Linked DNA regions of Astyanax mexicanus. The protein of the gene in region 1 purifies or fractionates together with the protein of each later gene. This does not show direct contact. Links are inferred from orthologs where the notes say so. Each region holds a gene or a part of one and is shown on either strand. Other genes may lie near its edges. The genes, in order: tubb5 and arl2.

The links.
Region 2: the proteins of tubb5 (region 1) and arl2 purify together in Homo sapiens (co-immunoprecipitation; 3 studies listed by BioGRID and IntAct, counting the BioPlex papers as one, with this or other methods). This does not show direct contact. The link is inferred for Astyanax mexicanus from reciprocal best matches to the Homo sapiens genes TUBB and ARL2.

The regions. Positions count from the first base shown.
Region 1 is NC_064413.1:1,501,710-1,509,223, reverse strand, and holds the start of tubb5 (tubulin beta-5 chain), read left to right. Parts: upstream 1-4,358; 5' UTR 4,359-4,460; coding exon 4,461-4,517; intron 4,518-7,514. Other genes in the region: flot1b (flotillin-1b), read right to left, coding at 939-981. UniProt on the Homo sapiens protein: Tubulin is the major constituent of microtubules, a cylinder consisting of laterally associated linear protofilaments composed of alpha- and beta-tubulin heterodimers.
Region 2 is NC_064415.1:24,449,256-24,457,479, forward strand, and holds the start of arl2 (ADP-ribosylation factor-like protein 2), read right to left. Parts: upstream 3,189-8,224; 5' UTR 3,006-3,188; coding exon 2,941-3,005; intron 2,043-2,940; coding exon 1,932-2,042; intron 1,049-1,931; coding exon 886-1,048; intron 742-885; coding exon 661-741; intron 1-660. UniProt on the Homo sapiens protein: Small GTP-binding protein which cycles between an inactive GDP-bound and an active GTP-bound form, and the rate of cycling is regulated by guanine nucleotide exchange factors (GEF) and GTPase-activating proteins (GAP).

The DNA.
Region 1 (7,514 bases):
GTGTGTTCACACTGCTTAACCGAAGTGTGTAATGTGTTTAAAGTTCAGGAAAATACAGATAAAGAACGAGAGTCAAACATACATTGTAACATCTAATGATTAAACTATTTATTTTAATATACAGCTCTGAAACAAAATAAGAGAGCACTTAAAAATGATGAGTTTCTTTGATTTTACCAGTTTTACCATAAAAAAAACTCTGGAATATAATCAAGAGGAAGATGGATGATAAAAAACCATTAAACCACCAAACTGAACTGCTTGAATGTTTGCACCAGGAGTAAAGCAGCATAAAGTTATCCAAAAGCAGTGTGTAAGACTGGTGGAGGAGAACATGATGCCAAGATGCATTAAAAACTGTGAAATGTTGTCTGTAGTTTATAGAATAAAACAACAATGTTCATTTTGAGCAAACATAAACCTATAAAAAGCAAAATCAGAAAAGGTGATTCAGAAACTGAAGTGGTCTCTTAATTTTTTTACAGAGCTGTATTTATGGCTAATACACTTTTTAACCAATAAATTTCCATGACTTTTCCATGCCTTCAAAGACATTGCAAAGACTGTTATTAGTGTAAAAATGTCTTTATTTCAAAACTATTTCAAAAAAGTGTTGTTCGTCTCGCTGCCTCCTGGTGTCGCAGTGTTGCATGTATAAATATTCATAAGCAAGAGCCGAAATCCTATAGTTTCTCCCAGCCCTCCACTCCTCCACCTGACTAAAGCAGTGTTATACCAGATCACCAGATGATTTTATTTTTATTTTTCACAAAAATTAGCTCACATGGCCTTCATTCATACTGGAGACACAACTAGACGATTTAAAATGAATGAAAAAAAAAAACCAGATCGATTAAACATTTATTAAAATAGAACAAGTGATTAAATTTCCTTTTTGTTCCAGCCATAAATTCCTACCTATAACGGTTTGTTCTTACCTGAGACCACCATCGCCTCATTGGGACCACAGGTGTAGAACATGTTGATACTGGATCAGACCTGAAAAATAATTCAGTACTGTACATTAAATCCACCTGTGCTGACTTACTACTATTTTTATAAGACAATTCAATGGATTTAATGAGCCAGATCATGTAAAATTCCACAGATCAATCTCTATATGAGGGAGTGAGGGATATCTCGTTGGTGAATTTTTAGCTGTGGCCAAATCACATGACACTTCTTTCACTAGATAAGCAGCTGTTTCTCTCTGGACACTTGTGTGGCTGAAGGCATGCAGTCCCTCCCTCTTCCTCCATTCATTTCTCTCTCTCTCTCTCTCTCTCTCTCTCTCTCTCTCTCTCTCTCTCCATAATATCCTGTCTATACGCCTCAGTTCATTTCAACTACACAAAAAGAAAAAATCAACAAACCACAACCACATGATTTGTCCAGACTTGCGTGCGAGATTAAACCTCAGAGTTTCCACAGTAGAAAAGCTGAGAAAACCCACGTCTTTAACAATGTAGAACATTTACAGCAGCCAAAAAAACTCCACATTTAACAGACCAAATGTGTAATAATACACATATTTTCATATTTGATATCAAGGATAAGAGTTTAAAAGATTTTGATCATACAGAGCTATATTATATTGTAGGCTACATATAGAATTATCTTACAAAGGATGGGTAAACCCCCACATTTCTATTAATATTTTATTATATCTTTTCATGGGACAATACTAAAGATAAAACAATTTAATACAGTGTAAAGTAGTTATTGTACAGATATCAGATATAACAGTGTAAGTTTGCTGTGGTGAGTCGGTACACACCTAAATAAAAATAATATATCTTCGGTACAATCGTTTAAAATGATCTAATTTGCTTTATATAAAAATGCTTTTTTATACACGCATAAAATCATGAGCAATAATTATGCTGTCGACTTATTGTACAGAGTATTAAACGTTTTAATATTTCAATGCCAACGGAAGAATTAACTTTAATAACAGATATAACAGTTCACCCAGCTTTAAAGGTAACTTTAATGTGTTTATTGCATTGTTATGTTATCATATTGTCATTATCTCAATAGCATAAAAAGGCTTGAAAATAAAATATGACAAAAATAGTTTTGTTCTACGTAAATTAACTAGGTAACTTATATGTTATCTATCTTTTTTATAATAGTACTTATACTTAACGTTACTTATAGAACACACAAAAACCTGAACAGCCTTATAAATCTACTATTATATTAACTTTATCCAATATATAACTTTATACAAAAAACTGAACCAAAATGTAATCTGGTAACAGGTAACTGTGGTTTTTGTAGTCCTGGGGTGGATTTTTACTTTCTGGACCTGGACTACACACCCCTGTTAGCTAGTTAGCTAACTATACCAACCTATTACACGAAGAAAACTTGGGAATTGGGAACAGAAATATAATGTTAAACAGCGGTAGGCTGTAAATACATAACCTATAGTTCAAAAGGACATTTAGTTTGCTGATTTTACTCTCTGTCTATACGCGTGCTGTTAGTGAGTAACGTTAAGTTTCTGTTAGCTAGCTAAGCTAGGCTAACTAGGCTAGCTCATCAAAAGCCATTAGCTAAATCAATGTAAACAAGCCAACAGGCGACCGTAGCCCCTGACTGCGCTAATGCTGCGGTTATTCTGAATTATATTAAATAATGTAGTTAAACTGGGGTTTCTTACCGACAGCAGGTCTTTAGCAATGAGCTGTGGACTGTGGAAAAGGTTTCGCAACCGCGGAAAGTCTTAAAAGTACCAGTTTTTGTAGCAGCAGCTGCAGCACGGCACAGAAAACACAGCGAATAGCACACAGACGTAGCCGCGCCCATTTACACACTCACACATACACTTACACACACTCTCTCACACACACTCTCACACACACACACGCACACGCACGCACGCACGCACACACACACACACACACACACTTACACACACACTTTTACACACACACACACATACACTTACACACACTCTCTCACACACACTTACACACACACACACGCACACGCACGCACGCACACACACACACACACACACACACACTTACACACACACTTTTACACACACACACACATACACTTACACACACTCTCTCACACACACTTACACACACACACTTACACACACACACACACACACACTTACACACACACTTTTACACACACACACACACACACACACACACACACACACACAAAACAATACAACAGCGTCCCCTGTAGTGCCTCTTATGTACATTCACTCTAATAGATAGATCGCTTCAGTTTCTGAATCAGTTTCTCTGATTTTATCTCTGATAAAATTAACATTGTTGTTTAATTTTATAAACTACGAACATGTCTTCTGAATTCCAAATAAACATATTGTCATTTAGAGCATTTTTTTGCAAAACTTTCATAATGCAACTTAAATAATGCAAAGAAAACAAGTTAATATTTTAAGAGTTCAGAAATCAATATTTGGTGGAATAACCCTGTTTTTTTTATCGCAGTTTTCATGCATCTTGGCATCATGTTCTCCTCCACCAGTCTTACACACTGCTTTTGGATAACTTTATGCTGCTTTACATTTCAGTTTGGTGGTTTGATGGTTTGTGATCATCCATCTTCCTCTTGATTATATTCCAGATGTTTTCAATTTGGTAAAATCAGAGAAACTCATCATTTTTCAGGGTCTCTTATTGTTTTCCAGAGATAGATAAACAGAAGTAAAGAAAGTGAAAAATAGAAAGAGTGACAAACACAGAGAGATACATAGAGAGAAGTAGAGAGAGACACACGTAGAGAAGGAGGGAAAATAGAGACAGAGAGAGAAACAGGGATACACAGTAAGACATAGAAGTAGAGAGAGAAGTAGAGATAATGAAAGAGAGAAAGAGACTGAGAAGTAGAGAAAAGTAAATAGAGAAGTACAGAGAAAGAAGAAGAGAGAAAGAGATAGAAAGACAGTAAGAAGCAGAGAGATGTAGAGACACAGAAAGAGAAATAGAGAGAAGTAGAGAGAAGTAGAGATACAGAAAGAGATTAAATGTGAGTGAGAGGTAGAGAGAAGTACAGATAAGTAAAGAGAGAATTAGAGAGAAAGAAAGAGAGAACTAGAGAGAATAAGGGATAAGTAGAAATATGTAGAGAGAGAAGTAGAGAAAAGTAATGAGCTGAGTGGAGATAAAGAAAGAGAAAGAAAGAGAGATAGAAGTAAAACGAATTAGAGAGAAATAGAGAGAAGCAGAGAGAAAGAAATATATATAGAGAGAGACTAGTAGAGAACGGTTCACATTAGGCCCCGCCCACGTCTCGCGCTCGGTCAAATCAAATCGCTCCACTGCTGCTCGGCCCCGCCCTCTTACTAGCGGAGCCTCGTTCTGGAGAGAATCCAGAATTATAAAGCCTTTGTCCGGCCAGACTCACTACAGCGGAGCCACGCCGTTACATCCGACCAGAGACCCAACTCCTGCACTTCACCTGCAACCATGAGAGAGATCGTTCATATTCAGGCCGGCCAGTGCGGTAACCAGATCGGTGCCAAGGTAAGAGGATATGCACTGTTCTCCTGGAAAAAAAAGAATAAAAAACGACCAACATGCCTTTAAACATGCTTATATGCATCTTGAAGGGGCTTTAAGATGACAATGAAACCCCCACACCAGAGGGGTGGTCTGGTGGCCTAAGCTGCTCTTTTTTTTTGCACAATAATATAAAAAACAATAAAAAATATTAATTTTAACATGCTTCTTTAGCTTTTTTTTACTTTAGAAATGTTTAAATGCATTTTTAAATATTAATGTAGCCATATGCATAAATATATATATATATATATATATATATATATATATATATATATATATATATATATATATATATATATATGCAGCAATGTATCTTCTATCCATTATTATCTAAGAGAACCATATAGCTAGGTCTGTCTGTATTAGTTAGTTAACGTTAGATGCAGATCAACATGTAGGTCAGGTTTAACTTCTTAATCTAACTATATCTTGTATTTTATGCATTTATTATATGTTTTTTTGACAAAAAAACAGAATAGTAGTTGATATTCACGCATTCAGTGAATAAGTTAATTAATTTAAAGTTTATTTAAAAAAAATTATTGTGAAAAAAATGATTGCAGCATGTTTGTATGAAAAAGCAAAAAAGCACTCACAGAATCCCTCAAAAAGTACAAATAAATATCTTAAATTCGTGATTTTTCCTTTCCTTTTCGGTTCCTTTCACTCCCTTTCTCTTGCTGTCTTGCCGGCTAACGGGCGTGGCGCGAGCTCCACACTGTCTGTCTAAAGCTAAGCTAACATTGTCTGGTTCGGAATTTTCCCGTTCCACCTTAAATTCTGCAGCGGTTCCATTCAGGCGCTCTGCGAGAGGAATTGGACCTAGAATGGAACTGCTGCAGAATTTAAGGAGGAATTGGAAATTCCGTCAAAAAGCTTCGCTAGCGCATTCTGCTTCGTTACTAGGCGATGGAGCTGAGGCAAATGCGGGGTTAAAAAGCTGTCAGCACGTTTTTCAGATTAAAAAAGGGTCTTTTTCACCCATAATCTGTTTGTAATGGTTTTTGTTGCATTTTAAGTCGTCGTTTTCTGTATTTTTGTGTGAATATGGATAAATTTGGTGCAGATCAGATGAATGAGAGTGGGAAGGAAGGGTGGGGCGACACAGACAGAAAACCACTGACAAAGAAAACTACCTTTATCTGGAGAAAACTCAACAATATTTATACAATTATGCACAATAAATAATAGTTTAATATAATCAACCTCTTAATTTATTAAAACAATATTATTTTACATATTTTTTCTACATTTTTTGGACAATAAAAGCTGAAAATGTCAGTCTATGTCAAATCACAGACTATGGTAGATAGACAGCTAAGAGGATCTATTGTAATCTGCTATTAACCCCCTTATAGTTTCACTAATACACTAAAAAAATACAAATGCCAACAACAGCCAGCTTCATTAGTGCATTGTTATATATCTGTTATAACTATTTGGATGGCAATTTATTATAAAGGGCTCATGAGAAACGCAGAGAGTCTATTGATCCATCTCATTATGAAGATAATGGCTCCACATACTGGGCGTATTTGAGTGAACAGGCATTGTATTGAACCGGGTTTGGGTGGGGAGGGGCGCAGGCTCCAGCAGATGGAAGATGAGGGATGGTAATGGGTCTCCCAGCTGCTTCATCTGCAGGCCTGTGGCTCAAACCAGATTTAGTCTGACTAACCGAGGAAAAAGACAGGGGTTATTCCTGCCTGCATATCACTGCCGTCTCACCCGCCCTGCTGAAAAATCCAAAACCAGCTGGTCATCCAGAGAAAACACAGCCTATGGTCAAGACCTAGTTAAGGAGATAGCCTACCATCAGAGCTGATCATGAGCTGAATCAATATCAATATCTATCAATTTTCAATTGTAATCACAATTTCAACCTTTGCAATACTACCAATATTGTGATATGGAGCTAATCACAGCATCGGGCAATACTACCGGGTTTCAATACTACCGATATTGGGTTGCGATATTAGCGATATTGTGACATCTAACTAATCGAGGATTGCAGTACTGCAGAGATTGTGATATATAACTAATCACAGCATCGGGCGAAATTTTCAATACTAGCAATATTGTGATATCTAACTAATCACAGCATCAGGCAAGGGTCGCGATACTACAGATATTGTGATTTCGAACTAATCACAGTGGACGAGGGTTCAATGTTTACTATATTGTGATATCAAACTCATTACAGCACATGCAAAAGTTTGCGATACTACCAATAATGTGATATCTAACTAATCACAGCACCGGGCGAGGGTTACGATACTACTGATTCACAGCATTGAGTTAGAATTAAGATACTACCAATATTTTCATATTTAACTAATCAAGGGTTTGCAATACTACTAATATTGTAATATCTAACTAAATGAGGGTTGCAATAATTCCAATATTGATATCTAACTAATACCTAACTAATCATATCATCATCAGGTGAGGGTTGCCATACTTCTGATTTTGTGATATCTATCTGATCGAGGGTTGCGATACTGCTGATATTGTAACTTTAAACTAATGTGGAGGGACCTTTACAATGATTACACACATTAAACAAAATCCAAGAAGCAATACCAATTACACTTTCTACGCTATCCGACATTTAATAGTCTGAGAGTCATGCATATCACAATACGCAGCAGTTTAATTGCTGTTGTTGTTTTTTCCTGTTTGTAGACAGGCATGTGTGGTGACAGGGCAGAACTCTGGCTGCTTATATAAGTTTTAATTGATGCTCCTGATGACAGTGGGGCTTTGCCTGCGTGGTCTGATGGAAGTGATGGGAGTTGACCATGCCACTCAGCACTTCCCTGCTGTTTGTCCTCATTCTTTCAAAGCAATTACTCCCTCTATACCTTGAGATCCTCATTTTGCAGTCCCACTCTTCCTTTACTCTCACTGTCGTTCAGATCGAGGTCATTTATGCAGTCGGGCGGCTTGATTATAACT
Region 2 (8,224 bases), on another chromosome or scaffold:
TTTATCAAATTAGATTTGATTATTCACACTGTTATTTGCAACTGATGAGATCTGACTTGTATTGAGATACCACAAATCTATTTGCATGGGGTTGCAGTGATAAAAACACAAACATCAGTAACCACGCAGCCATGCTGGTGATGTGGCTTTCATTCATGGGAACAAGGGAAATGGTGGTGAATCATCATCTTTTCCAAACCGTTGTACTCTCAAGTTGAGGTCAATCAGGATTTGACGTGGTTGTTGTTTGGGTTGTTGTGAAATCTTTATAATCAGACTTGTGAGTCCAGACCTAAGCACATCTGTATGGATTTCATGTTTTTTTTAAACTATCAAGACAATCAAAATTGTGTATTATTATGTGTCATGACATTCTGGATCATTGACTTCTGTTATAAATCTGAAGAAATTTTTATTTTTTAATATCTCAGTTAGGGGTGTGCCATATCATATAATAGGCAATAATAACATTACATTTTTATTTGGTTGCAGTAGTGTATTCTGAAAATACCATCAAATATTGTGATATTATTTTAGGGCCATATCGCCCACCCCTAATCTGGATACAATCTAGACAGACCAAAAATTTGATTTGGGCTGGCAGTCCAAACAAAACCTTAAATCCTCCTAGTGTTTTAAGTGCAATGAAGAAACACTAACCTCTCTGATTGCATCCTTAGACAATGCACCAGGCAGATCTTGTTTGTTTGCAAATACAAGAAGTGTGGCTCCTGCTAATCTCTGGTAAAAAGAAACAAGAATGATTAGACAAGCAAGATCAAAGCAGACAAATATAAGGACAAATCTGAGGAAAGAAACTGGACATGTCTTGAGAACGTAATCCAGTACATGAATCGTTCAGTATTAATGAATAAACATTCTCACCTCCTCCAGTAACAGAGCACCAAGTTCTTTTCTGCAGTCCTCCAGTCTCAGTCTGTCTGCACTGTCCACCACCCACACCAGTCCATCTGTGCTTTCAAAGTAATTCCTCCAGTAGGATCGCAATGATTTCTGACCTCCTACGTCCCAGATATTTAATTTGAACCTATTTTCACATCAAAGAAAAAGAGCAGACAAGAAGGATGTATGCGTCAAGAAGCCATTAGTTGAAATGATACAACTAGACCACTTATGGCAGAGATGATTCATTAAGAGTGTCCAATCAGTAAGGTATTATTAATTTAACTAATATCTGGGTTGAGGTTAGTATAGCCATTTTATGCAGTTAATTACATTTCCCTACTATAAACATAGTCAGTTGTGTAGATGTTTTTGGTATCTGCAGTATTGTAGAAAATTATGAAAGATTCCAGTTACAGTCTGATTCAAAAATACAGTAGTTAAACTTAGATGGCAGTCATCCCATAAGACAACAGACATAAATCAAAAACATTTTAGTTTTAAAGTAAACTCATATATCAAGTAAACTCATCCAAAATCAACAATGATTTGATATCAAATTCCAATGTTAGAAAGATGTTAAATTTTGGTTACTTAACAACACATTAGCATATAGCAACATGAGGCATTAACATTGTGATACTCAGCAGATGTTGTGTTTTAAATCATCATACCTCACCATGCCCCTAAAAGTTGGTATTTTTTGTCAACACGACATGACATGTGAAGACACTTAATTTTGGTTACTCAGCATATCAAAACATAATCATCTACTTTGTTTGCTTTTACATGTCAGTATAACGTTGGGATTAGACATTTCCTCACACTAAATTTTTGTCAACTGATGTCCCAATCTATGTTCAAACAGACATTATCTATCAATTATGGGACCAGCTGGGATGTCTTGGCCAACTGACTAAAATATAGATATGGAGAAAATTGTAAACAGTGATGTTAAGATGTACAAGAAATTGTTAGAAATTCTATGCAAGTCATAGAAAAGAGTACAGTTCAGGTTCAGACATTACCCTCTATGTTCTAACGTCTTTATGTTGAATCCTAGGGTTGGAGAAATAGTGCTGACGTCTTCGCCATTGAATTTCTTCAGGATGGTCGTTTTTCCAGCGTTGTCCAGACCACTGCACTCATGGTTAAGGAGTCACAGGAGCTGTTCTCATGACTACAGCATGTTATTGGCATAATTAATATCAGTCCTAAAATAGAACCCTGTGGGTCTCCAAAAATACCTCCAGTTGAGGCATTAAGGTTAAGTGCATAATAAACCTCTCTCAAGAACAGGAGTTTCAGTCAGGTGTTTTCAATCAGGCATTGATTAGGCACACCTCTAGATCTGAACAGAACCACAACCAGCAGCAATTAAGTATACTTAGCTCCTTTTAGAGAGTTAATGTTGTCTTTGCAACATGGTGACGTCCAGGGAATGGTCAAAGAAGTCTAGACAGAGGGTAATTGTAATATTGTAATGCTGTAATATATTATGCTTCCAATTGTGTCTCTTGAATATCTCCTCTCTAGACTTCTTTGACCACTCTCTGGACTTATCTTACCGTGTTGCAAAGACACCATTAACTGTCTAGAAGGAGCTGAGTATCCTTTCAAGTCCTTTCAAATCTGTTTAATTGCTGCTGGTACTGTATATTTCTACGGGTGCTTCAATGCCTGATTAAAAACACCTGATGATACAATTTCCTATTTGATCTGATGGTGAACAGGATAAAATATAAATGTTAAACTTGCTAAAACACTTTACTGCAGTGGGTGTAGAATAATTTTGAACACAACTTTAATACCGTCATATAGCCGAGTCCTAATCCCAGTATATAGCTTTTGCAGAACAACAAAATATTGCTATGTCAGTTTCGTCCCTACTATTACACAGTCCTACTAATTAGTGTTAACAACCCAGCAGACAAATAGATAGATATTGTAATACTAAAACTGTCAGTACCAGCTTTATAAAAAAAGAACACACAGCAGCATCTGTCTACAGTGATAATGCTAATTCCTGAAGGATACAGCATCAGCAGGCGCATCTCCCGCTCCTTGTGCTTCAGCTTTCTGAGTATAGTTAATAACCCCATGGTGAACTCTCTAACCAGAACCGGTTACTAAACGCCGCCGCGGAAACTGGAACCCTTCAGAATGGTGAAATCACATCGCTGATGAAGCTCCTCTGTGTATGAATTCTCAGAAACAGAACATCTTCTGTTGCTCCCTCGCGCTACCAGCGCTTTCTCTGAATCCAGGAAGTGTTCTGTGCGCCGCTCCAACATACTCAAACCTGATTGGTCACCCGGTAGGACAATAAAAATAGTTGATGAAATTGATTGGTTACCTATCATCAGTGGTACCGCCCTCTTAGGGCAGACGAAGGGCGTGTCTGCAGTTTTAATTTGTTAAACCGCCGTCAATCACTGCAAAACCGTTTCATACCATAGACTGTATATAAAGCTATATACAGTACAGTCTATGGTTCATACAGACTTTTAATTTGAAAATCCTGAAACTATACATATACAGCTCTGGAAAAAAACAAGAGCGCTTTAGTTTCTGAGTCAGTTTCTGTAATTTTGATATTTATAGGTATATGTTTAAGTAAACCAAATAAAACATTGCCATTTAGAGCATTTATTTGGGGGAAAAAAGAGAAATGAAAAAAAGAGGTTTCAGACCTCAAAAAATGCAAAGAAAACAAGTTCAAGAATATTTTCATAATATATTTGGTTATTGATCAATCTGCATATCTTACTGGGTAAATAAAATAAAATGAAATTTACAAAAAAAACGACCTATGTCTTATTTAAAGTAGACTTCTACTCCTACATATATCATATATTACATTTAATACAAACACTGTCAAAATCTGCTAAATTAATAAACATACTGAGACAATTTTGTTTATAAATATAAGTTGTGCTTAAAAATAAGCTACAAAAATCATATATAAATATGTCTTAAATGTACTGTATATATAAATATGAACATAACTTAGTTTAATATGTAATTTACAGAGATATTCAGGGTCATTCTTTAAGATGGGTTCTTTTTGGATCCTTGCCTTTTTGGAGAAAATACCTTAAAATGATAATTTCATCTGATAATTGATTCATTGAGCCTGTGACTAAAAACACTTCCCTGTGGGACAGCTTATTGGACAAGTCTCCAGTTTTTAATTTAATAATTTATCCAAAATTATGCATTAACATTAAGATTTCATTAGGCTTTTTTTGTTTTTTGTAAAACATGCAGTCCAATAAACATTACCTTCATATTTCTACTTACCATCAAAATATTAATAAAGAACTTTCCAATAACAGTAACAACAATATAACAATAATAATGACAGGGCTAAAGGGACATCACACATTTTAATACAGTATAGTCACCATATATTTTTTAAAAATTATATATTTTTTTTACATAATAATGCACCCGATTTGGAGAATCACCCTTTAAAAGAAACAGTTATGTTAGTAATGTTACAATAATGCTATACTTTTAAATAATGAATAATAAGGAGTACAGTTTAGTTTAAAATATAAACCCCTAAATATATGAAAAAATCGAAAAGTGGTTTAGAAAATCAATGGTCAAAAACAGTTTCACTATTGTTAGAGGCATGTTAATGATAATGTGGTTAAACATGTGGGTTTGCTTTAAAATACTTAAACACTCCCTCTCTCCTGCTTATGAAGAGCTCACTTGTTTAGGCTTCCCTGGGAGAAGGTCATTTAAATACCCCAAAAGAACAGCAGAGAAAGGGAAAGTAAAATGAATATTGCTGAATGCAGAATGTTGTGTAACATTCAACTGACAGAAAAAGGTCAGACAGACCACTCCCTCATTTTCCAGGCACTCCCTGAGTACATACCATGCCTACAGGATGTGAGGCCATATATGGCGTTAGAAGGATATAGTTGGCAATAGTTGTGTTTAAGACAGAGGCAGACTGCAACAGAAGCAGCATATTTTTACTGAGTATCATTGAGATAGACATATCTGATGCAGATGGAGAGATTGTTCTGTTCTATGACATATGTGTGTTTGCTATTGCCCATGTCTGGAGGTCCTAAAAATTAGCACACCAAGAACTGTGCTCCCTATAATTGCCACACTATTAAAACTTCCTCAGAAAATATAGTAAAATATTTGGAAAAAGTTATTTGCCTTCTCTGAAGCCCAGTACTTTTTAACGAGTGTCTTGTAGGGGAAAAGTCGTGTCATGTGTAAATGAATGTAATAAGTCCATAGACAGCTTTGCATTACTGCCAATACCAGATACAGTGCTGTGAAAAAATAGTCTTAGTAGTCCTACAAACTACTTTTGTTTTTGCATTTTTTTCATACTGTCATGCTACATTTTCCAGATTATCAAACAAACTTTAGTATCAGACAAATATAGACCTGTAAAATCAAGAAAGCACTTAAAAAAGAAGCTTTCTATCAATGTGAAGCAAATAAAATATATATAAAAAAAAGCAACAAATCATGCCCCAATCTGAAGAAATTTAAGAACAGATGAGAAAACAAAGTCATTGACATCTATTAGTCTAGAAAAGGTTACAAAGTAATTTCTAAGGCTTTGGGACTCCAGCAGACCACACTAAGAGCTATGGAGAAATGGAGAAAACTTGGAACACTGTTGAACCTTCCCAGAAGTGGTTGGCCGACCAAAATTATTCCAAAAGGGCATGGACAACTCATCCAAGAGGTCACAAAAGAACCCAGAACAACATGTAAAGAACTGCAGGTCTCACTTGCCTCACTTAAGGTCAGTGTTAATGATTCAATAATAAGGAAGAGACTGGTCCAAAATGTTATCCGTTAGAGAGATCCACTTGCAAAAAAAAACTGCTGACAAAAAAAAACACAAAAGTCTATCTCACAGTTGCCCAAAAATACCTTGATGATCCCCAGAACAAGGGTGGCACAACCAAGTTATTAGGTTTAGTGGGCATAGTTTTTTTTCTTTTACTAAATAAAATTACGATTTATAAAGTGCTTTTTATATTTCCTCAGGTTATATTATCGTATTATCTTATTATATTATCTGATATTAAAGTTTGTTTGATCATTGGAAAAATATCAGTATGACAAAAAAATAAAAATAAAAAATCTGTAGGAGGCAAATCATTTTTCATGCTACTGTACATTTCTTGCTTAAAATGAATAGAATAGCATTTATTACTAATTAATTCTTTAATCTTTTACTTTTAGTATTGTTATTATTTACCCACCCATATTGTTATCTTCTTCTTGCTGATCAGGGACGTGGTGAGCCCAAAGCCTAACAGGAATCATTAGTTGAAAGCTGGAAAATCCCCCCAAAGATGGCAGTAGTCCACTGCAGGATACCATGAGTAATCGTTCATTCACACCTACACTCTTAAAAATGAAGATGCTACAATGAGCTTGTTGAACGATGTCATAGAGGAGCTACTTTTGATTCCATAAAGAAGCATTTTTTTAAGAGACTGTGAATTTAAAGAATATTGTTAAATATTTCAAATGGTTTTACATTTTCTCAATGTTTTATTTTATTTTTACAAAAATGGATTGTTATGGAACCAAAAATGGTTATTCTATGATTTCGCTTGAATTACTTGATATACCAAATTTATTTAGTAGTGTTTCAAACCCACTAAAGATACAACAGGTACAACATGTACTGTACAACTAATTAGTCCCCGGACATGAAATACCTTTAGTCCCAAATTAGCAATATTAGCCAGTTGATAACAATAGATTGCAATATTTTGTACATTCAAACACCACAGGAACACACCTACAGGTATATATTAGATAGAGCTGACACAAACAGATAGAAGTCAGTAAAAAAAACTAAATAATAATACTGTTAATATGTACTGCAGCCATCTTGGATTCTGAACTGGATTTTGCTGCTGAGGCTTTTCCACCTTCTGTGTAGGAAATCCGACCTCTAAGAATTGAAATTTCCCATTTGCAACTTGGAAATTCTGACATCTGAGGAAGGAAACACTAATCAAATTCTGTCCTTATAATAGTGAATGCTCTATTTAATGATGTAGAATTTCACATGTAGGGAATAGTGAATATGACAGTTTCAGATATGGCTTAATAGTGTAACCAACAATTTAGCATAGACAGTTCATCAGTTTATCTACTGTGTGTTTTTAGAAAGTGGGAAGAAACCAAGATACCCAGAGGAAACCCACATGAACTCGTGGACAACATGCCAAACTCCACACGGACAGTGACCAGAGTGAGGATTGAAACCCGGCACCAGGCCCCTGGAGCATTTTTAAATTAGGTCTTCTCAAATTACTGCTAGTTTACGCAATACTGAATAATGACATTCCTTACCAGGAATAGTTGATTTATAATGTCATGACTCTGAACTGCTTGGCTCTGAATCAGGGGGGTTTCTGACCACTCTGACATCACAGGAAACGGGCTTGGGAGAGTGAAAGTGTCTGCAGGAGTGGGCAAAGACTTGTGTCCTGGGACAGTTTAGAGAGGAAGTGAAGTTTAGGCTGATACAAAACCACACTCAGTTACCATAAGCAACTACAGAAATACACTCTAATCTGATAAAGGCTGGATAACTGATTTACACTGGATTTAAATGTACTCTGAATCTTATGACGACTGATGACACAAACTGTATGTCAAAAATTAATAATGTTAATTTTACTTTATATTTATCAAATTGTCGTAATACTTACATTCACCCCGTTGTAATAAAATATTAAGATAATATATATATATATATATATTTAGAAAAGTTACTAGTAGTCCAGCGGACTAAGCGCTTCCACTATGATCAGGAGATCGTCAGTTCGAATCCTGTTCATGTAGCTTGCCATCGGCCAACAGAGCCCTGAGAGCGCACAATTGGCCTAGCTCTTTTTGGGTGGGTAGATGGCACTCTCTCTCCTCATCACTCCAAAGGTGTCCGCTACACAAGGCGTCTGTAAGCTGATGTTTCGGAACCAGGTCGCTGCGCTTTCCTCCGAGTGCGCTGCCTACTCGGCAATGCGGCACCAGCAGCAGTTCGAAAAGAGGCGGTGGCTGACTTTATATGTGCTAGTCTTCACCCTCCTGGTGTTGGGGCATCGGTAGTGATAGAGGGAGTCCTAATGAGTGGGTTGGGTAAGTGACCGTGTACATTGGGAAGAAAGTGGGAAAATAATTGAAATAAAATTATATATATATATATATATATATATATATATATATATATATATATATATATATATATATATATATATATATATATATATATATATATATAAAAGAAAAGGTCACCAACTATTCA